Linked DNA regions of Kluyveromyces lactis. The protein of the gene in region 3 purifies or fractionates together with the protein of the main gene of each other region. This does not show direct contact. Links are inferred from orthologs where the notes say so. Each region holds a gene or a part of one and is shown on either strand. Other genes may lie near its edges.

Evidence for each region.
Region 1: the proteins of CEF1 (region 3) and ECM2 purify together in Saccharomyces cerevisiae (affinity purification with mass spectrometry; 5 studies listed by BioGRID, with this or other methods). This does not show direct contact. The link is inferred for Kluyveromyces lactis from reciprocal best matches to the Saccharomyces cerevisiae genes CEF1 and ECM2.
Region 2: the proteins of CEF1 (region 3) and CDC40 purify together in Saccharomyces cerevisiae (affinity purification with mass spectrometry; 5 studies listed by BioGRID, with this or other methods). This does not show direct contact. The link is inferred for Kluyveromyces lactis from reciprocal best matches to the Saccharomyces cerevisiae genes CEF1 and CDC40.
Region 4: the proteins of CEF1 (region 3) and SMB1 purify together in Saccharomyces cerevisiae (affinity purification with mass spectrometry; 4 studies listed by BioGRID, with this or other methods). This does not show direct contact. The link is inferred for Kluyveromyces lactis from reciprocal best matches to the Saccharomyces cerevisiae genes CEF1 and SMB1.
Region 5: the proteins of CEF1 (region 3) and SMX3 purify together in Saccharomyces cerevisiae (affinity purification with mass spectrometry; 3 studies listed by BioGRID, with this or other methods). This does not show direct contact. The link is inferred for Kluyveromyces lactis from reciprocal best matches to the Saccharomyces cerevisiae genes CEF1 and SMX3.
Region 6: the proteins of CEF1 (region 3) and PRP22 purify together in Saccharomyces cerevisiae (affinity purification with mass spectrometry; 4 studies listed by BioGRID). This does not show direct contact. The link is inferred for Kluyveromyces lactis from reciprocal best matches to the Saccharomyces cerevisiae genes CEF1 and PRP22.
Region 7: the proteins of CEF1 (region 3) and RSE1 purify together in Saccharomyces cerevisiae (affinity purification with mass spectrometry; 4 studies listed by BioGRID). This does not show direct contact. The link is inferred for Kluyveromyces lactis from reciprocal best matches to the Saccharomyces cerevisiae genes CEF1 and RSE1.

The regions. Positions count from the first base shown.
Region 1 is NC_006042.1:1,698,947-1,701,842, reverse strand, and holds ECM2 (Pre-mRNA-splicing factor ECM2), read left to right. Parts: upstream 1-1,487; coding exon 1,488-2,396; downstream 2,397-2,896. Other genes in the region: KLLA0_F18524g (uncharacterized protein), read left to right, coding at 1-345; KLLA0_F18480g (uncharacterized protein), read left to right, coding at 2,663-2,896. UniProt on the Saccharomyces cerevisiae protein: Involved in pre-mRNA splicing. Facilitates the cooperative formation of U2/U6 helix II in association with stem II in the spliceosome. Binds to RNA.
Region 2 is NC_006041.1:1,891,190-1,894,313, reverse strand, and holds CDC40 (Cdc40p), read right to left. Parts: upstream 1,791-3,124; coding exon 501-1,790; downstream 1-500. Other genes in the region: proteasome regulatory particle base subunit RPT5, read left to right, coding at 1-410; pre-rRNA-processing protein ESF1, read right to left, coding at 2,117-3,124. UniProt on the Saccharomyces cerevisiae protein: May function in the second step of pre-mRNA splicing. Regulatory protein involved in replication and mitotic spindle formation and/or maintenance. Required for initiation and completion of S-phase and for initiation and completion of DNA replication.
Region 3 is NC_006039.1:634,851-638,429, forward strand, and holds CEF1 (Cef1p), read right to left. Parts: upstream 2,133-3,579; coding exon 501-2,132; downstream 1-500. Other genes in the region: CAF20 (Caf20p), read right to left, coding at 1-288; EFR3 (Efr3p), read left to right, coding at 2,779-3,579. UniProt on the Saccharomyces cerevisiae protein: Involved in pre-mRNA splicing and cell cycle control.
Region 4 is NC_006038.1:48,023-50,496, forward strand, and holds SMB1 (mRNA splicing protein SMB1), read right to left. Parts: upstream 1,077-2,474; coding exon 501-1,076; downstream 1-500. Other genes in the region: CHZ1 (Chz1p), read left to right, coding at 1,513-2,031; Rab family GTPase YPT31, read right to left, coding at 2,371-2,474. UniProt on the Saccharomyces cerevisiae protein: Plays a role in pre-mRNA splicing as a core component of the spliceosomal U1, U2, U4 and U5 small nuclear ribonucleoproteins (snRNPs), the building blocks of the spliceosome.
Region 5 is NC_006041.1:436,436-438,668, forward strand, and holds SMX3 (mRNA splicing protein SMX3), read left to right. Parts: upstream 1-1,283; coding exon 1,284-1,286; intron 1,287-1,397; coding exon 1,398-1,733; downstream 1,734-2,233. Other genes in the region: GPI-anchor transamidase subunit GAB1, read left to right, coding at 1-964. UniProt on the Saccharomyces cerevisiae protein: Plays a role in pre-mRNA splicing as a core component of the spliceosomal U1, U2, U4 and U5 small nuclear ribonucleoproteins (snRNPs), the building blocks of the spliceosome.
Region 6 is NC_006038.1:1,021,127-1,025,196, forward strand, and holds the start of PRP22 (DEAH-box ATP-dependent RNA helicase PRP22), read right to left. Parts: upstream 2,801-4,070; coding exon 1-2,800. Other genes in the region: PRE1 (proteasome core particle subunit beta 4), read right to left, coding at 3,139-3,726.
Region 7 is NC_006037.1:720,992-725,016, forward strand, and holds the start of RSE1 (U2 snRNP complex subunit RSE1), read left to right. Parts: upstream 1-1,225; coding exon 1,226-4,025. UniProt on the Saccharomyces cerevisiae protein: Involved in G2/M transition. Required for pre-mRNA splicing and endoplasmic reticulum (ER) to Golgi secretion pathway. U2 snRNPs associated protein required for the pre-spliceosome assembly.

The DNA.
Region 1 (2,896 bases), on a different chromosome or scaffold from region 3:
TCGAAAAGTAAAAGGTCTAGTCGGCAAGACCGTAAACCAAAGGCAAGTCAACAGCATAAAATCTCCAACACAGGTAAACAGTCGAACACTAAAGACTTGCCATTAGCTGAAAGGAGAAAATACATCTGTAAGATTTGCTCCAGAGGGTTCACTACATCAGGTCACCTTGCCCGTCACAACAGAATTCATACCGGAGAGAAGCGTCATCAATGTCAGTTCCCCGGTTGTAATCAACGATTCTCAAGGCACGATAATTATATACAACATTACAGAACCCATTTCAAGAATAACCCAATGCCCGAGGAACAACAGCCTTCAATAAATACGCGGAGCTTGATACCATGACGCTTCCAAAGGATACAGATTAAAACCAATTAAACAAAAAAAATCCTCATAAAGTTTTCTCCCTTGTGTATTATACCCAAACGTGTACTGCTTGCATCATCACCACAGCAAATACTCTCTCTATGTTTTGTTGTAGTGATCCATCATTCTTACTTGAAATTTGGACCATTAAAATCTTCCATGGTATCCTCTTTTTAGGTAATTACCAACCTTAAGTTTAGTTAAACCTCACATATAATTAGACTAAGAAATTTGACCTCTCGTCACTATGAATTTGCCTTTGCTCTCTTTATATCTTACGTATCAAAAACGTTTTGGCATTTAGTTCTCTAAATAGTTTTTGTGTAATTATATAACACGCTTTGCCCTAATTCATGGCTGATGTTGAACCTTCACAATCTATATGGTCCATACAAAATTGTACCGTTTCTTGAGCTTGGTGTGCCAAATAAGCACTAGAGCATATATTGTTACCCGGATATTTCATTATGTAGTGTATGGGTGTCATTTGTTAATTTCAGGCCCAAGAAAATTTTTACCAACAGGTATAAAAGAGAGAGACCTCCTGTCACTGTAAGTTAGACTCAAGGTTACTTGATGATAACCAGTTTTTTACTTTTATTATACTCAGTAGCAGTTCCGAAAGACACCAAGGATACAAATATCGAGAGGCCTCGATATATTTTCATTGCTCACTGCGATCAATGGAAATCTTACCTTCTTCTAATCTATATACTTGCAACTAAGAGAAAGTGTCGAGAAAGCAGAATACAGTAAACTTTTTATGATGATACACCTAACAACAACAACATGAATTTCTTCAACCGATCAACTCATGAGGAATCCTTATTTTGACATAGCTTTTTAACCCTGATCCTTTTACATTCTGCTAGATCGCACTTTCTCTAATATTCTATGTGCGTATTCTTATAACTCTTAGTAAAGCTCATCTCTCTTTTGTAATTAAGTATCCGCTGCATATTGCAAGGTAATACTTTCACTATGGAAAGAATGAAAAGAAATTTGAAAAAAAATAGTACCAATGCGATGAGATGTTATCAAAGAAATCTGATTAATATAAGTCGAGTTCGTTGATCTTGTCATCGGTGGCACTGCCAGCAGAGCACAACGAGCAGGTGAACATGAGTCAGGATACTGGGGAGTTGAAGATTTGCGAACGGTGTTTGCCATTAGGGGAAAACACCCCAACTTTGATAAGATACCCCAATGGTAGAGAATGTAAGTTTTGTACCTTCCCATTCGATTCATACTCGTACACAATAAACCACACAACTTTTCATACCATATGCTGTCCTAAATGTGCTACGAAGAATCTGATATGTCAAGTTTGTTTGAACGACTTCGAACATGGAATACCGATGCATTTAAGGAATTCGATGAAACAATTGTTGAACGAGAATGCGGATTCAGTGATTCCGAAGAATGATATGATGAAAAGGTTCATTGGACTAAGCTCAAAACAAGTAGCACCGTTGAATATAGATAAATTGAAACAAGCAGAATCCATTCGGAAGTGGAGAGTTCGAGAACTGCCGTTTAACTCCAATGTCAACGATACCAAGGATACATTTTTCCTATACAATATAGACCCTAATCTGACAGAGTCTCAGATTGTTTCCCAGCTAATAGTCGCTACTAATAATAATTTGGAGCGTGAGAATACGTCATTGAAATTGAATTCGAAACTTAGGATCGCAACTTTAACATTCAAACAAGATCCGGATTTGTGGACACAAAAATTAATATCGATACTACCAAAGTTTAAAGTGGGACCCACCGTGGAGAAATGTTACCTTCTGATGAAAGGAAATAGAATCCATATAACATCTTGTCTATCAGATGATTTTGATGTCAATAATGTGAACTCAGAACCAGAATGGGATCGTTTGGTACAGAAAATTATTACAAAAGATGCCAAAATAATAGGTACGGAACCTGGTAAGAAAAAGGGCAAACCAAAATCGGGATCTAAATCCGATTTACATACTAAGTCTAAGTCTTCACGTCGCAGACACACACTGGATTTGTGACGGAGGGTTCAATTGAAATTTTTCTCAAGAAACACAATTTTGTTGTGACAGCCTTACGTGTGGTGTAAATACAGGCTGTCATTCTTTTATGTCACTTGAAAGTCGTATTTTAATATAAATATAAGCATACGGTCGATTGTGTATCTGAAATCACCAATGCATTCATAAAATATTTGCTATTTTCCAGAGCTCTCTGTGTGACCATCAATTCGGTTTTGCTTTTTCCGAAGACTTTCTAACATCAAATATTATTACATTCGCTACTTATGAATTCACTTGGAGTTTTGTTTTACTCTTTTCTATTCGCATTTAATCAATTGTACGAAATGGTTCTTTGGCCAATGTTCTCAGCTGAGCTCATTGGCAGTCCCACATATGCGTACGAAGATGTAGACAGTTTCCAAATGCATGTTCTAGACTCGCCGACTCAGATGCCACAAGAAGCAGTCCAAAAATCTGGTTTTAATGTACGTTTCCTATCCATTGCTTTGATATTCGTT
Region 2 (3,124 bases), on a different chromosome or scaffold from region 3:
GAGAAGTACAAAGAACAATGTTAGAGTTGCTAAATCAATTGGATGGATTTGGCTCTGATGATCGGGTTAAGGTGTTGGCTGCTACCAATCGTGTTGATGTTCTAGATCCGGCCTTATTAAGATCTGGTAGACTTGATAGAAAAATAGAATTCCCACTCCCTACAGAAGATGCAAGAGCTCAAATTCTACAGATTCATTCCAGAAAAATGACAACTGATGATTCTATCAATTGGCAAGAACTCGCTAGATCTACAGATGAATTCAATGGTGCTCAATTGAAAGCCGTTAGTGTCGAAGCTGGTATGATCGCATTAAGAAACGCTCAATCAACAATCAAGCACGAAGATTTCGTTGAGGCTATCGGTGAAGTACAGGCAAGAAAGTCTAAATCCGTTTCCTTTTATGCATGATTTATATGTAATCATTAAGTATATCTACATAACCTTATCGAAGGTTGTGCCGAAACCAAGAATAATGTCTCAAAGAATCTCAATTCTTCATTAGTCCAGAATGGCAATTTTTCCGGTATTACCAGCGCAACATAACTTACTTGTCTCTTGAGGATTCCATTCAATACAGGTTACTGGCAGGTTATTTGAAAATGGCTTAAATTTCTTTAACAATTTGGTAGTTTTCCAATCCCAGATGAACGTCTGACCTTTAGAGTCTCCAGATGCAATGTATTGGCCATCAGGAGAAAATGCAAAATGAATACCATAACCTGTAGTATTATGACCTTTGAATGTCTTGTTTGGGTGTCTTTTATACTTTGGTAACATTGAGTACGTATAGATGGTGTTGTCCATACTTTGTGTACAGAAAGACTGACCCTGTGGATTAATATCGATCCATGGCATAGAATGTTGTGCTGTGCCACTGATTTGTTTAATAGGAATATTGATTCGGTTCTCCCAAATTCTGACCGTTTTATCTTCTGACGACGAGATTAACTTCTTACCATCAGGGAAGTACTTTAGTGCCAAAATAGAACCCTGATGATGATCATATTTCTGTACTTCCCCATGGTTTTCTGATAGCCTCAAGTCATAGTGCCGTATTTCGGAGTTGGATAATCCTACCACTAGTTGGTTCTTGTCTTTTGGGTGGAATGTAATACAGTTCGGTACAGAGTTGAAACGCAATCTTTTATCAATTATACCTTTTTCGGTGTTCCAGATCTTAACCCATTTATCAAATGATGCACTGGCAAAAGAATGTCCATTATCTGTAAAGTTCAAATCCTTTATAGTCATAGAGTGACCTTCATACGTTCTTAATAGTTCTCTCTCATGATAAAAGTCCCATAGTTTTATTATGTTGTCGTTACCGCCTGAAAGTAAGAGATGTCCTGTTTTCGGTATGAATCGTAATGATGTAGTACCATTCTTATGCCCATAGTATTCTGCTATCTTGGTTTTCGGAAGGAAGCACCTGAATGATAGTGGTTCTTTCTTGAATTCTAATGGAATATCTACTGGGGGGTGTAAAATGCATCTTCCCAGATAGTCTTTTTCAGTACTGCCTACAAATTTCGTTCTTTCAAGTGATTGTGATGCCACTGCATCCTCATCACCACCTAAATCTAAGGAATTAGAAGCATTTGAATCCTTTGATAATTGTTCGATCTCATCGTCACTAGATCCTTGCCATTTTGCCCATGGTCCTTTCCCGTTCCTCCTAAGTCTTTTGGACTTCAATTCAGCCTTTGATGTTTTTAACGATCTCTTAGGCACAGCTACAGATGAGCCATCATCACTACTCTCACTTTCATAACCCTGTACCAGCCCCATTATTCCCTGGATATTATGGCAGTGGCAGAGTCTATCTAGTAAGTTTATCGGTTTGTCCGTGTATTACCTACAATTTTAGATAATCTTTAGAAAGATGAACCTATTTCATATAATGTGATAATGTGCACTTTTTCTTTTTGTTCACACACAGAATATGACGTACAAATCTGGATAAATAAGGAAATGACTTAAAGTTACAGACCATGCCATGATACAGTCGCATGATTAAGTGAAATGATGTATTTATGCTTTAATCAAATGCTGAATATATACATATAAGATGTGGACGTCTTTGGGTTGATATAAAGTGTCCACAAGTTTGCAAATTAGTGTTTTGTTCTTTTGTTCTTGGCCTTAAGTTTTTCAACTAAACCGCCGATCTTATTTATGTCTTTACTATGTTCAGTATTTGCAATTTCGTGGTTACGCTTTTTGCCCCTAGATTTTTTGCTTGAACGTACTGTACGTTCCTTTAAAATCTTCTCCATAGCTGGTGTCTTCTTGAACTCTGGTTGAGTAGGATCAATCGCGAAATCGTGATCTTCAAAGACCTCTTTAAATCTTGGATCATTAACGTCTGGAGTGAATTCATCATCCACAATCTTCTCCTTGTTTTGATACTTGGCCTTTTTGGATTTTTCCTTCTCAGATTTGAGAATCTCATTCATGTTGAAGTGTGCCTTGTTGTTAATTGTTGATTCACCCTCATTTTCATCTAGCATTAAGAGCTCTAACTCTCCCTTTTTCTTATCGTCATCGATGCTGTGAGAAGTATCTTTCTTCTTCTTAAGGTTCTCCTTTAATTTGGCTTCTGATTCCTTCTTAAGCTCCTTGACTCTGTCCTTTCTCTTCTTACGTCTTTCTTTTTCTTTACGTCTAATCTTATCAATGGTGCTTTCCTCTTCGTTATCATTGGTATCTTGTTGGCCAGACTCATCCAGGCCTGGAGTGAAAGTTATTTCCATATCAGCCTCATTATCGTCTTCATCTTCCTTTTGATCAAATAGTGACTTTTGCCCCACTTTTACGGAATCCATTACTAAAGCCTTGAGTTTATTTTTAACTTGATCATCATGCTCAACTTCAGATTCTTCACTATCGGAGGCTAAATAAGCTTTAAAGTCCATTTCTTCAATTTCTTTTTGAGTGAATGCTCTTTTAGATATTTCCACACGGTCTGCAGGAGTTTCATCCCATGTAAGCTTTACCTTGGAATGCTGAAGGGCATCTGTACTGAATTGTGCCGGCTTGTAATTTTTTGGAAGCGAGGTACATTCATCACGAGGATCATCATCCATTTCCATACCATCAGGCACATACCTTAAATCAAAGAC
Region 3 (3,579 bases):
GGTTGGTTCTTCTTCTTCAGCCACAGACTTTCTTCTGACCGCTGGAGCAGTTTCTAGTGTAGACCATCCTTCCTCATCGGTAGTAATTTTTGGTTTCAAATGCTTGAATTTTGGTTTAGCATGGTGGTGAGAAGATCTTCTTCTGAAGTGAGAAAATTCTTCTTCATGTGCTTCTTGGATTTCTTTCACTTTTTCAATTATAGCGTTGAATTCATCAACGTCGAAGTTTGGTTTAACTGGTTCGGTTGGTCTTAATTGTAAAAGTTCTTCTTCTGTGTACCTGATCATCGTGGCCCGGGAATTAGTATTTGCTTTGTGATGGCTTCGAAAGAGTTCCAGTAGAAATAAAGGGGAGAATTGTTATGTCCACACAGAGCAATTGCTAACTGTCTCATATTGTTCTTAAAGTTTGCAATTTCGTAAATCTTTTCATCTTTAAGTTCATAATTTGAAAATTTCATGATTATGGAAGGAAGACTCAAAAAGAAGGGTCCGGGTAATCATTGACTACGCTGGGCAAGTTTGATCTGTTCCGCAAGAGATTGTGTCTCTTCTTGCATAGTCTTATGGTCGTTCCTGTACTTCATGTAGTCAGTGTAGTATTGGTATGCTAAGCCTGACACTGTCGGATGTAGTTTTTCTTCAAAATCTTGTGAAAGTTGTGAAACAGCCTCTCTGTGAGACTTGACGGAATCCTCAAGCGCTGTTCGCAGTTCATGCACTTTTCGTTCCATGCCGAGCAGTTCGTGCTCCGTAGCCGGTGTTATAGTTTTTAAGCTAGTTTCCAACTTGGGATGTAAGACAGTGCTGGGCACTTCGGTGGTGGATGCAGAATTAATGATCTCTTCTAAGTAATTGTTTACTTCCGTGGAATTGTAAATGGGGTTACCATTCTCCTTTGCTGAGATTATACGATTCAATTCACGGTCAATTTCATTCTTTGGATCTACTATCGGACTGGGTACCTGTAATTCTGTTTTTATTTGGAATACTGTCGGTATGTATTCCATTATTTCCATTGCCTTGTTTTCCGATTGATGTTCCGTGGAAGATATTAAGGCTTCTAGGGGATATTTACCATTAACATACGAACTTTCAGTATTAAAAGCATCAGTGGATTCCATTTCTTCATCTAAATCATCCAATACAATTTCAAAATCGTTCTTAGGAGAAGGCAATGATTCAAATAAATGAAGTATAGATGTTGTTTTGTTTATCTTCCGTTTTGATCCTTTTAAAGTAGCAGGAGTAAGCTCAAGTTTAGGTTTCTTGTACTCATCAGTTAGTACAGAATCTAATTTTGTTACTGATGACGTTATTTGTTCGCCTTGCCTTCTCTTTTGTGGTATGGTTTTCTTTTCATCAGATTTCCTGTCAAGTAAACCTTTCCTTTCTACCAATTTCTCAAAACTCTTGAGTAGCTTCTCAGTCTGTTCATCCTCCTTTGAGGTATCGTATATACCCGGTAGTGGTTGCTGTTCATACGCAATATCCTCGTTGTAATCCATCTGCGAAGAATATTTCTTCCTGGGAGCTTTGATTTTACTATCAACGCCCGCTTGTTTCAACTCTCTACGCTTCTGTAAGAATGCAACACGCTTACTTTCTTCTAGCATACGTTCTCTTATCTTACGAGTAGCCTTTTTACCCTGAGTGTTTAATAGCCTGGCACGAGCTTCCGCCAACATTTCTCTCTCCTCGTCAAGTAGCTCATCTTTATCAGCCTTGGCTGGTAAGCTTTCGTTATTTGGGTTGATCTCACCGATCTGTACCCCTGTAGTTGCTGCAAGCTCTAAATCATCCTTATCAATCGCCAGGAGGATATTATATCTGTCGATACATGTTTGAGCAGGTCTACCCATCATTTCTCCGATGCTTTTCCATTGGTTTGGAATTCTTTTCGCTAAATCTAGTAGTTTATCATCTTCCTGCTGGCTGAATGGTTTGAAGTTTAGACTGGGATTCAAAAATTCATTCCAACGAGATTGACATTGCCTGGCATTCTTCTTCTGTAGAAGCGAAGCTACTTTACTCCATGCATGTGTTCCATATTTTTGAACAGCCGCCTTTAATATTTGATCCTCAAGGTTCGTCCAAATACCACCTTTGACATAAATCGGAACAGGAGCCATCGTACGTGGTTACCGCCTTTGATTAACTTCCCTTTGAACCAACGTTACAGCTTTAGCTGATACTATTATTAATTAGTTTCCTATGTTTCCACCAAGTATATGTCAATTTTATTTTCAATCCAATCCCAAAATTGGATTATCTAGATTTACACAGTGTTATAAAGAAATAAAACAATGTCAGCGAATAAAGAGGGAACTGTATCCGAACACATAGTTTACATATTGCTTTACTCGCAAGAGCATAGGTACCTTTTTCGTATTATTTCAGCAATGCTGGATACTGGTTTCTTTTGTGACTTCCTCCAGTCAGTACTTCGGTCTTTAAACTACCTATATTTTATTAGAATACAACAAACTCTGAAATTCTTTCAGAAAACACATGACAGATAATGAGAAAGTATATGTTGTTCTTCTCTTATTAAATAATGATCATCATTAACATTATTATGTTCTTTTTCAGCTATAGTTTTTCTAGTTCCCTTGTTTATATAATGATTGGCTCTCTATTACGCAATAAAAACTGGAAAAGGGTTTTTTGTTCGAAGACATTTTTTAAACTTAGAAATTGCATACTATATTGAAATCGCCAACACTATTGATGGTTCGACGATAAAACCCATCCAAAAGACTCCAACGATCCGTGTCAATGGGCTTTCTCTTCACCCCTAAGCACCAGAAATTGGTGAATCAGTGTTATCCACCAGGCCGAACTCCCGATAAGAAGCCAAAAGGGTCAGAGACTTCGTACTTGTTATATTATGTTAATTCGAGACGTCCAAAATTGGAAAAGGTCAGCAGTTACCTTGTGAAGAGGTCGACAACGGATTTGAACAGAAGACGTTCCGGTAATGTCTCTGTCACTCTAGAGCTACTGGCTAAAATCGTCGAGAATTGTAATGAAAACATGAATATTTTCATCAAAGATTTCATCCACATTATGACTTTAGTGTTGAACAACAACAATTTTAACAATGATCCAACTATTGTTGGTTTGATTGAAAGAGTTTTAGAAGCTATTTGTAACCATTTGGATGGGTCTCTTGTAAGTGGGGACTCTGAGTTTTTAGAATTGTTCAAAAACTTCGTAACCCTGTACTTCAAAGTTGCTAACACTAAACTTAATGACACAGATTTGGTTTTGAAAGGTTGCTTAGACTTTTCAAAGATCTCAAACTTGGGAAGCATTCACCAATGGTCTGCTACAGCCAAAAACTGCGTTTCTATTGCATTAACGAAGTTCCAAGAAAGGCATCCAATATATAGTGAGGCTACCATTGACTCTTCATTTTCTGAACCAGGTTCTCCAGCGTTGAAGAAGAAACTCACTAGAACACAAACTAAAGTGATGGGTCTAGATGATGTTTCGAACACAGGGGATTATTCAATTCTGGCTTTGAATACTTTTTTCAATACCACAGAAACAGATAAGTTGACAATCGGTTTACAT
Region 4 (2,474 bases), on a different chromosome or scaffold from region 3:
TTCCTATAAAAAAAACACACACTCATGATATCGTGGCATGCGATATATTTGTTGTTTTTGCGAAACTTGCAAACTCTAATTCTTGCCCGTTCTCAGCTGAGAGATATTCCGCACCATGATTGTCCAGTTGGAAGCCATATTTAACACATAACATTTCTTTTGTCCGCAGGGCTATGGTGGGGTCATGGGGTATATCTGGAGGTTTCGTATAGGCATTTGGTGGGGTGGTTGAAAAGGGAATGAGGTGGATAATCATATTTCGCACAGGCTTTTAACGTTGCGCAGTACAGGGATATCATTACACTGGATAAAGCTAGATAAATTCTATATCTTCTTGTTCTAGTCGTTACAGTGGGATATCCAAAGTCCTCTGCGTGTACGTAAGAGGTAACTAAAGACATATCTATCAACATGTCTCGGATAATTATAGCTAAGATCGGTGATCGTAGCACCAAAACAATTTTTTTTATATCAATAAGTATGACAAGTTGTTCGCTGGTTTAGTTTCTTTTTTTGAAGCCTGGAGGGGCTTGGAACCGGCTGGGGCGTACCTGACTATTAGAATTAAACCTACTGGGAGCTCCAGAATTCGTATTGATAGGTTTATGACTTGGCTTCGTAACTCTATTTGAACTTTCTGAGTTAGTTGAAGTTATATTAGATCCATTCGTTCCAACGTTCATCTTGTTAGAAGTCTTCCCTTGACGAGCCTTTTTCGCATTATCTAATTTTTTTGCATTCTTCTTCTGGACTTCGATTCGTTCCTTCTTAGAGAGTTGGGGAGGTGACTCAACCGAGGTACTCAACACATGCTCACCCCGTAAAATTATTAGTCCAAAAGTCCTTCTTTCGACTTGCACATTGCTTGACAAGTTTCCTCCACTTTTAAGTACTTCTATGATTTGTTTATGAGGCATGCGTTCCTCTACACAATCTCCCATTACAAGGTTCATATATGCATCAAAAGCCATAAGTTGGCCAATATAAACCCTTCCGTCATGGGTAGCGACTCGTATTCTATAATCTATCAAATCTGATAGCTTCGTTTCCTTCTTTTTAACTTCAACTTGCGACATCGTCCTTGTATCTTTTGTATGATATGCTTAGAGATATAACTATTCTTCTTGGTGAACAAAGAAAGTGAAAAAGACTGTAAACTCGATTGTAAGAGGTATCCTTATATCATGCACAAAAAAGCGGTCCGTAGCAGTGATTCTTTATAGGACCAACGCAAGTTACTCATTGATCGTGAAACTAGTTAATGTTTTAATTTTCGATACAACATGATAGTTAGAATTCATCCACTATGCGGCTATGAAAAAAAATGATCACGTGGAAAATTATGTTTCTTTGGGATTTGAGATAATATGAATTATATTTGGTTCGCAAGATGCGAAAAGGAAACAAATACTGGTAAGCATCTTTAGATCAAAAAAAGCATTGCGTGAGCCTAGGTCGTACTCCTCGAACATCAGCACACTAATCATATCAACAGATACAAAGTTTGCAAATATGGCTGAAGAAATTAAGGATAAGCAAGAATTTCAAATAGGTGCAGAAGAGCCTGACTCTTCCAACGTTGCTTCACAAGCTAAAAGAAGTGCTGAAAGTGAGCTTGCTTCTACCGCTGATGCCAACGATAAGAAATCTAAAAAGAAGAGAAGAAGAAGAAACTATGATGATTTGGATGAAAAAATTGCTCAAGAAGACAAGGCATCTGCTACTTCTGGTGCTAACAAGGAAGAAGATAGTGAAAGTGAAGTCGATGACGAAAAATTAGATCAAATGATGGTAAAAGAAGATGAAGAAGAAGACGACCTTTCAGAAATCGATAGTTCCAATATTATAACTACTGGTAGGAGAACTCGTGGTAAGATTATTGATTATAAAAAGACTGCCGAGAAATTGGAAAAAAATGGTGAGGTTGGCAAGGATGATGATGATGATGAAGACGATGAAGAAAATGACGAAGAGTTCAAGGATCCAGCTGCTCCTGCCCCTGCCCCTGCTAGTCCGACTGAACCCAAATAGAAATTTGAATTAAAAATTTACTCAAGCGCATATAAAAGTTTGTAGTTTCACTAAATCTCCATGTTTGACATTATGGTAGTGTTTCATTTAAAAGAACAATGGATACGACGCAATGAACTGAGAAGGTATTTTGCAGTTAAGAAGTTTCAGGATGTCCTTCCAAACAGCTAGTATTTGCATAATTATGGCAGTCAATGTTATATACATAAAACAAGTGTCTAACTTAATCGGGATAAATGTCCCAGTCGATGATAATTCTGCTTCCCTTTTTCTTTCCGGGGCTTATACTTTCTATATAAACACCCTATAAGGAATGACCATAATACACGTTTAGAATTCCTAACAGCAGTTGTTTGTACTCTTTTTGTGTTTTTCGTTTGGTGCCGGTGTCAAAGAGATCGTAGGTCCCTTTGGAGCGTTGGCATTGTTTCCTGAGGCGTCAT
Region 5 (2,233 bases), on a different chromosome or scaffold from region 3:
AGCTTTAATGGCATTCGTTCAACAAGCGGAGTTTCTAATGCCCGTTTTGTTTGCGGCCATGGACACTCTAATAGCGTATCAATTGATGCAAATAGCTAAGATATATCAACGCCAATTGCAAATTCCTAGTTATATTCCAGGTGTGGTTTATGCAGTGAACCCTTTGGTACTTTTATCATGTGTCTCACAATCGACATGTCTATTTGTGAACCTTTCCATTTCTACTTCTTTACTATTTGCGTTATCTAGACAGTTCTCACTGTCAGCCATATGCATTGCGTTGGCTGGTTATTTATCACCTTACGCTTATCTACTGTTGATCCCATTGGCAGGAATCTGTGGATCAAATTCTTTCGGCCTTGTTGTCAAGTGTACATTGGTATCGATTGTTTTGCAGTTGATCAGTTTCAAGTTAAATAACGATAACTGGAACTATTTGACTTCAACATACTGGATATTGATTACTTTCAGTAAGATAAGGCCAAATCTAGGGTTGTGGTGGTATTTCTTTATTGAAATGTTCGAATTTTTCATCCCATTTTTCAAATCTGTGTTCAACATATTTGTTGTTTCATTTATCCCACCTTTCACTATTAGATTCAATCAGCAATCGTTTTACGCATTTGTTCTATGTCTAGGTTGGATTACGCTCACCAAATCATACCCAACGTTAGGTGACGGAGGGTTTTTCTTAAGTTTTATCCCATTTTTCAAACCGATCTTTGGGTATCTAAGATATCCAGTCATATCAACCCTTTTATTCATTCATGCCATCATTTTGTCACCAATCTTCTACTACCTATGGATTGGATTAGGCTCCGGTAATAGTAACTTTTTCTATGCCATTTCTTTGGTTTATGCGTTAGCCATCTCGTCAGTGATTGTGGATTTGACGTGGGCCATGTTAAGAATTGAATACGATTCAGGTAAACCAAACCTTTCATTAAAACTGACTCAAATTTGAATGAACCCTGTTCCTTCTGTTGGAAGAAACATATCGTATTGTCATTATTTAATATATATCTAAGTATGACTTACCCAGTGCATGGCATAAAAACTTTTGAAAACTGTCCGGACTACTTTGGTTTGTTTTATTTGTTCCCTTGGTAGGGCATCTAATATTTCCATGCCATATTGAAAAACATGAAAATACAGTATTGCAAAAAGATAGACAACGAAAACATTACGTAGCAACCAACAGACGTAATAAAACCTTTAACAGATTCTCGAATTATATCGTGTAATCGATACATATCAGAACACCCGCGCATTAACGTATTGAAATGGTAAGTTTTCTTGTTCCATACTTTTTTGGTCGCAGCTAGGACGATTATGTCCATCTGCGATCGATGAATCCACAGATTTTGTCACCTTACTAACCAATTTAAACGTTGCAGGATCCAGAGGAATTCAAACCAATTAACCCTAAACCCTTTTTACATCAATTGATAGACAAAGATGTGCTGGTGACACTCAAATTCAATAAAATACAATATAAAGGAAGACTTGTATCGGTAGATACATATTTCAATCTACAACTAACAGATGCGGAAGAGATCATAAATGATGTCTCAAGTGGGAAAGTTGGGGACATTTTCATCAGATGTAATAACGTGCTATACGTAGGAGAGGATGTGAACAAGCAAAGTGATCAACCCCCTACGCCGACTGGAACAACAGAGAAATCTGACGATAAAGAGGAAAATGGAGAACTCGCAGAAGAAGCGAATTAATATAGCACTAGTCTGAATATTATTGAAGCAAACAAGGAAACATCGGAATAATTATGGATTCACTGTATAGCTTTCCTCAGTTGTAATAGAATTAGGGAACTGCTTATCTTAATAAAGGGAATATTAGTATTAGTATAATTAATGATAGTATAGTTTATGTAGGTTTTACAATTCAAAGGCTCATTCTAAAAAAATCTCTAGAGATTAATACCTTATGTTTTTCATTCCAAGAAGGTCTCGTTCACGGTGTAACAGCTGTTCCAGCCACCATGGATTTCTTATTGCTTACTAGTTTTCCAGTTGAGTTGGGGTAGTGATTTCCAAAAAAAATGCAAAAATGAAACGGACAGGAATTGAACCTGCAACCCTTCGATTGCAATTTTGTTTCCATAGAAATTTCCAGGATTTAACTGGAGTCGAAAGCTCTACCATTGAGCCACCGCTTCATTCTTAAGGTTTTTATCTATAACATCTTCTATATGAAATGGAGTGGCAGCATT
Region 6 (4,070 bases), on a different chromosome or scaffold from region 3:
TGAATACGTTTAAAAGAGTTAGATGGTCGCCATATGGATGGTGGAACCTTGCCTTTCTGTTATCTGCCTCCTGTTGTTTATCTTTAGGTCTATAAAATACGTTCTGAATGGAAAGCATGGCCACTATTGTCAACATTTCATCAGAGCACTTATTGGTGACAGATGCAAGCAATGTTTTGGAGAGCCCAGGTTCCATTGGAAACTGCGACATTCTTTTCCCCAATGTTGTTAAAAACCCTTCTTCGTCTAAGGCTTGCAAATTGAAAAGTTCTTCGAGCGCAGATACCATGAAGGACTTGGGAGGTGGATCCATGAACTCGAAGTTCAAAAGATCATTGATACCCATGGCTTTAAGCATCAATATTGTATGCTCTAAATTCTGCCTTTGAATTTCTGGGACAGTATTAGGAAGCATTTCATTTTTAAAAGCAGATTCGGTATAAAGCCTAAAACATTTGCCAGGGCCTGTTCTACCTGCTCTTCCCTTTCTCTGATTGGCTTGGGCTTGCGAAATTGGAGACACGAGAAGTTGTTCCATACCAACTCGTGGATTGTACGTATTTATTTTAGAAAAGCCTGGATCGATGACATAGTAAACCCCATCAATGGTGATGGATGTTTCAGCAATATTCGTGGCAAATATCACTTTCCTAGAGCCCTTCGGAGTAGGCTCGAAAATTCTTGATTGAATTTCACTAGGAAGTGCCGAATAAACTGGTAAAATAATAAGTTCTGGAATTGTGCCGTCCAAAGCTTTCACTCTTTCGTACAATATCTCACAACAAGTGTCAATTTCTTCTTGACCAGTTAGAAAGACCAAAACATCACCCTGGGGCTCGTTGATATGTATATCCATAGTTGTGTCAAGAGCACTTTCTATGTAGTCCATTTGAGGTTTGCTTGAGTATAATACTTCTACGGGGAAAGTTTTCCCTGGGATTTCGATTACCGGGCAGTTCATGAAGTATTTCGAAAATTTATCGGAATCTAAGGTGGCAGAAGTAATAATGACCTTTAAATCAGGTCTTTGCAAGGCCGCTTTCTTCAATAGCGCGAAAAGAACATCAGTAGCTACTGTTCTTTCATGAGCTTCGTCAAGAAGAATAACAGAGTAACGGGACATCAAGGGATCCAGTAACGCTTCTCTTTGCATCATACCATCGGTTAAGTATTTGATTCTGGTTCTTGATGAGGTCTCGTCTTCAAATCTAATTGTGTAACCGACTTCTTCACCGACGTTACATCCCATTTCTTCGGCAACTCTTTTGGCCACAGAAACTGCCGCAACTCTCCGAGGTTGGGTACATCCAATCATTCCCTTGTTACTCAGGCCTTCTTCATCCAGATACTGAGTTAATTGAGTTGTTTTACCTGAGCCTGTTTCCCCTACAATAACTAAGAACTGATTCTTAATAACTGCGTCGATAAGTTGTTGACGCATTCGATACACTGGTAATCTTTCCCTCTGTTCTTTGATTGGAAGAGATGTCCTTTTTCCGTAGGATACACGCTCTTTCATTCTGCTCCTTTCCCAAGCTGTAGCAACTAATTGCCTTGCATCAAACTCTGAATTAGACAGAACTTTACTACTACTGGGATCAGCCAATTGTTTACTTTTGTTAAGCTGTTTTTTTACCTCTTTCTTCCGTTTAAGCTTCTCTTCTCTATGTTCTTTCATCGTGTATGAACCTACCATGGCTGATCTATTCAACGATCCCTTTGGAACCTTAGTTATAGATGGTAATTCGTATTTTCTGTCTGGTTTAACTTGTCCTTTTAGAAATTTGGGCTCATCATCGACATTTATCTCAACTTCAAGTTCTTCTTCTTCTTTTTGTTCGTTGGTGCCATCTGCTTCAGAGTTCGTAGGTTGACTTATATTATAGTCATCTTTTAGCTCAGGATAGTCTTCGATTGAAGCGGCACCACTTGAGATAAGTTGTCTTATTTCCCATCGTTCTGGTGAAGTTAATTTTCGCTTAGGAATCACCTTTTCTTTGGTTCTTCCCCGAGTTGCCGCTTCCATTCCAGTACTCTGATCAATGCCTTTCATAGCAAGTGATATTTTGCCATTATTCTGTATCTTTATAACTTTCACGAACACATCTTGGTTTCTGTGTACCACGTCTTCTGGCTTATCAACATGCGATGAACTAAGTTCCGATACATGCACAAGACCGTCGACATTAGTATTTCTTACCCCAAAAATTCTCACAAAACATCCGAATTTTGTGACGTTCTGTACCTTTCCAGGATACACTTTATCAAGCACAGGTTCTGGATCAACCGTTTCATTCTTCCTAAATCTTGATTTGTTGGAAGCTTTTTCTTCGATTCCTTCCCAAGAAACAGTAGTGTTGGGTAAGGAAAGTGCAGACTTTGTATCCTCGATTTCCGTTTTGACAGCCACATTTGAGGAATGAACAATGTTGAAAATACGAAGAGCTAGACTATCCGATACACCAGCCTCCATTTCTTTCAATTTTGCCCGGAATTTGAGCAACGTTTCGCTCTTACTGCAAATGTCCATAATGAAATTGGTGACAACATCATCGTGAACATCAAGCTGCTCAGCAAGAAGAGTCTTAACCCTTGTGGCTGCTGTGCTTCCAGCAGTCTTGTTCACCACATCATAAATGTCGGACACAACAGCGGCACTCAAATCCTGATCCATCTCCAACAGTTTTTTCTTAAACTCATTCTTCGTGGTACAGTTCTTATTTATGTTGATGATAAAATCAGCGACTATCTCATCATCTAAACCGAGTACTTTGCATATCTCCTTCTTGACATCAGACATGCTATTCGCAGCAGCAACCTTAACTTAGGTAGGTACTAGAAAGGACAGATCAGACGAAGCTGTTGCAGTGATGTTGCCTATCCTTTTTTTCATGTTTTGTTGAGATGAGATGAGATAAGATGGTTTACAATAAAGTCAATAAATCTCAAAATTGTATATTGATCAACGTCAAAAAGAGAGAGAAGACAAATCGATACACGCTAATCTACCAGCGACACCTCCAAACTTAAAATGCTTTTGACTCTTGGGTATTTCTGAGATAAGATATTACTTTGAGTTTTGTTTATACAAAAGATGTAAATATGTGTATGTACTTGATTCTGGTTAGAAAGATTGCACTAAAAGTCGTCAACGACCCTAACACCATCCTTATCCACGATTTTTACAATAACCCCCTTGAAATCAACTGGCATTCTTAGCTCTAGCTCTTGTACACATTGCTTCAATAAACCTAAGGCTTCATCTACTGTTAAATCCTCTCTGTAATGACGATCCAATAGAGAGAATGTGTAGAAACCAGCGTAACCGTGGGCAGCGTATGGTAATTCTACCTTAGTACCTAGATAATCTATCTGGTACAACTCTGCTTTCTCATTCTTGGTATCATAACCACCGATTAATACGTTAACTTGGAATGGTTTCCTCGATCTTAGGGATTTAGCCAATTCTGTTCTAACAAAACTCGATGCCGCATGAGGAGACAATTCATAATTTTCTCTAATCAAATACAATTGCATATTAGCCTGGATATATTCAGCAAACTGTACTGTATCACCAGCTTCACCAGAGAACGACATTAGTGTGTGAGGGAGTAATTGTCTGGTCTTGTCATCTGAATCTTTCAAAATTGAAATACCCCTAGTTACAGCCTTTGAAGAGGCCAATATCACCGAATCCTTGACTCTTATACCTAATAGAACATCCATTGGGAGATTTAGTATAAACTTTGACTCTTTTCACTGTCGATAGACCCTATATTTCCCTGTTTCCTCCCTGATAAAGGTTTGCCACCGTAAGTGTATGTTCTTTTTGTCAATTGTATTTTAGTTAAACATTTTCAAACATCATTTAAAGGTTTTCCACTGTATGAAAGGTGACAATACACAGAGAGAGAAACAGACAAAGCGTTTTATTCGCAGGAATGAAGCCCAAGCTAGGCGCCAATTGTGGGGTGATAGTAACTAAGAATACACTTGTTGAATGTTTTTTATTTTACTGTTTTGTTTCAGGTAGTATCGATAAATAGGTATTGTTCTTATTTGTAAATATA
Region 7 (4,025 bases), on a different chromosome or scaffold from region 3:
TTTGCTATTGGTTATTGATGTTAATTTTCCCACAAAACCGGAAATATTCGCCTTCCTCTCTGATAAATCTTGAAAAAGTACTGAGTATAGTAACTAGCACTGCTTTGTTGTAATCTGATCTTAACCTTATACCGTCTCTGGTTGGTTCGGATGGCAAATTTGCTTTGGTGTAGTAAATTACACTCTAGAGTTCAGCCTTTTATCCTAGAAGAAAACATTTCGTACTTACCAAGTTTTAGCATATGTCATGTTTCCGTTATTATATATTATTAAGGTTTTTCCTGGTGAAAAGGAACGGACACACAGAGAGGAAGAAGAAAAAAATAAACACACACACAGAGCTGATCTGCCAATATGAGTCCACCCGATATCTGTATGCGGCCGATTAATATTTCCCCAGTAACAATGTATAAATCAACGTGTAGAGACAGACAAAGAGTTTTCTCATACTTGCTCCTCTGACCAGAAGAGAAAGTCAAAAAAACCAATACAGAGTGTCTACCAGTCAAGCTATGGCATTTGAATCCTCATACGGTGTTTTTCTTTTCTGAAGAAGAGAAACACCTACTTAGAGTTAGTAGCGTAATACGCCTTGTGCTTTGAACTTGGTGAACCATATTTACGTTTCTGCACCATCAGGTGCACATTTGTGGGGTTACCAAAACGTGATACCGTTTAACGACACCAGTGCCAGAGCCAGTGCCGGTAAGGGAACAAGTAGTATCGAATTACATGCTGATCTCGTAATGGATTAAAACAATGACTGTGTGCCTTTCTTTCTCAACGTACAAGCATGCCTGTACGCTCTCTTCATCGTAAGTTTTTCCGTCCATATGGAGCGATAAACAGCCTTTGCGTATGTTTCTGTGTTTTCTTATTCCGCTTTGAACGAGCACTTCGCTCCTGCTCCAACAGAAGTTTTTCCGAAACAATGTGGAGTCTCATGTCATTCTGGTCACGTGATCGCATCTTTTCGTGTGACGTGATGTCAGGGTAACATGTTGTTGACTTTTTGGGATTTGTTGGTCACGTGTAAGTTTTTGAAATAGTATTTCCTAACTTCTTCATAAGGGCGGCAAAAAACCAAATCTGAAAGTAAACAAAGTAACTAACAACAGCGCACTTCTTGAGTGCAAGTTGACGAACAACACTACTGATTACCATCAGTATACACCTCTGATCATCGTCTGAAGCGTGTGTTTAGTTACCCGCTAACGAAGATCGGATGACTCAGGACTCTGAAGTGTTGCTATGGCACACTGTTTTACAACGACATAGGAACTACGTTCATTCCTGCATCGGTGATTTTACTTTGGATAGATCATCATTAGCGACAGCAGAAGCTGATACAACAAGTGTTAAGGGACCGAGGTCATCGAAGAAGCGGAAGGAACTGCAATTATGTCTAGCTACACAGGATTGTGTCGAATTGTACGATGTTAGCAATGGAACATTGGATGCGTTGGGTAAATGGCCTATAGCAGCTACTATTCTTTCTATGACCAAGTTGAATATGGATAGATGTTCACATACGATTTTGGTGTTGATAACTGATTCTGGGAATTTAACATTTTGGCAGTTTGAGAGGGATTCCGTGAGCGGGAAAGTGTACGTGCGTACTTTGGCAAACGAACCGATTTCCAGATCTGGGATCAGAAGGTTTGTACCTCAATATCAAATGGTTTCGGATCCACAGAGTAGATGTGTATTTTTCAGTGGGATTGAGCGTTCAAAGATGTGCGTGTTGGCTGACTGGCAACGTGGGAAATTGGTTGTTGGTTCTCCTATAGAGATTCAACGAAGTGATAGAATCACTTTGGCATCGGCAGCTTGTGATGTAAGTTTTGATAATCCGGTGAATGCTGCCATAGAGGTAGAATCTGGGACAAATGATTACTATTTGTCTTTTTATACAATGGATTTGGGTCTTAACACGTTGCTACTCCGGAAAGAGCATCTTTTAGAGGATAAATCCATCAATTTCGTTATGCAATGCCCAAATTTACAACAGTATAAGATTAAAACTAGACCGAATGATGAAACTGATCAAGATTCGGTAAATCCATTTGTTATTTGTGGTTATGATGGATACTTGACTCTGATAGACTTAGAAGGCTTTTATGAAGTGTCTGTTCAACTCCCCGTCAGAAAAACTGTTTCGTCAACTAATATCATCAACGGTACTATTCATAAATTGAAGAAAGATTTTTTCATCCTAATGCAGTCTAACCACGGAGATATGTACAAGGTCGGAATTATCCCTGATGAAGAAACTAAGGCGCCAGTTCTTGAAATTGCATACTTTGATACACTCCCCACTTCTGAAGACATCCACATTTTCAAGTCAGGTGCTCTTTTCAACGTATCAGAATTCGGGACCTCTTATTTAACACAGTTCGAAAGTCTTGGTGAAGATCTAGAAAAAATTACATCTTATACCCCGGGAAGGAGATCATTTATTGAAACAGAGTCCACTTTGAAAAACCTATCCATTCTTGACTCCTTAACTTCTTTAAATCCCTTGACGTCATTTCATGCATCAAATTCGACACCACTCACGATATTGGCTGCAGCCAATCAAACTGAGAATCTTGTTAAATTGACTTCTGCGGTTGATTTTGAAGAACTTATATCAACTACATTACCTAGAATACCATCAAAACTTTGGACCGTTAGAATTCCTAAAAACGAAACTCACAGTCTGATATTTCTTTCTATGGAAACCTCAACGACCATCTTGAAGATCCATGAGGGAACTGTCGAAGATTTTGGTGGAGATTCAAACCCATTTATTTTGAACAAACCATCATTGTTTGTTGGCGCTATGGTTCAAAGAAGTATTATTCAAGTTACTCGGGATTGTCTTTTACAAATTATTGAAATGCATGATGGTCCATACACCAAAAAACTTGAATGGTATCCACCAGCTGGTGTTGGCATCGTGACAGCATTTTGTAATGAGACACAGTTAGTTGTCGCTTTAACAAATCATGAAATATGCTATTTTGAAATCATAGAAGATTCGTTAAACGAATTACAGGATCGAGTGGAGATGGATTCTACAGTGAATTCTATTGCATTGCTCGCCGGTCAAAAGTCAGGCTATTGTGTATTAGGATGTGAAGATTCTAGTCTGCAGATTCTCAACTTACAGAGTAAACATCCAGATTTTTTCACTATCTGTGCTATTCAGTCACTAATATCAAAACCGCACTCTCTACTTTTCATGCGGGACACGTCGGATCTTAAGATCCACGTAGGTATGAAAAGTGGTGTTTATCTGTCATCTAAACTCAATATCAATGATGGCACAGTGTTCGATGTACGTACTAGATTTGTCGGAACGAAGCCCGTCCAGGTAAATCTCTTGGACAATATAGATATCAATCACAAAGATGATGATGATGATGAACCTGGAGAAAATGATTCAAAAATAGACGATTTCAAGAAGAAGATTTCGGATTTCACTCCACTAGTGGTATTGAATTCAAGCATATCTTGGGTAACTTACGAAATTGATGATAAAATCACATTACGTCCTTTGAAAACAGATGAGGGGATAACCTTGAAACATATAAATGCTTTTATCACGGATGATATCAAGCGCAACGGCTGCTGTTCCATAACCAGCAAAGGGCAACTCCTAATCGGCAAATTAGATAACTTTTTGTCCTGGAGTAACTGGTTCAATGAGAAAAAGTATACCCTTGTTAATGACGAACTTAAAAACGCTGGCAATGAAGAAGAGGATGAAGATGAGGATGAAGATGAGGATGAAGATGCAAGTGAGAAGTACGAAATCGTTGGTTATCAATCACAACGGATCCTTTCAGATACAACGGACAATTCGTTATCATATGTTATTTCAAAGACAGCTAATAAAGAAACCAGTCTATCAGCTATTCGCGATGATAAGCTATTGGCAACAAACAATGGGAATACGGTCGTGATTATTGCTAAAGAGGTCTTTAATGCTGTCTGTAGTTGCAATTTCGGTACAAATGTTAAATATATTGTCATATCTA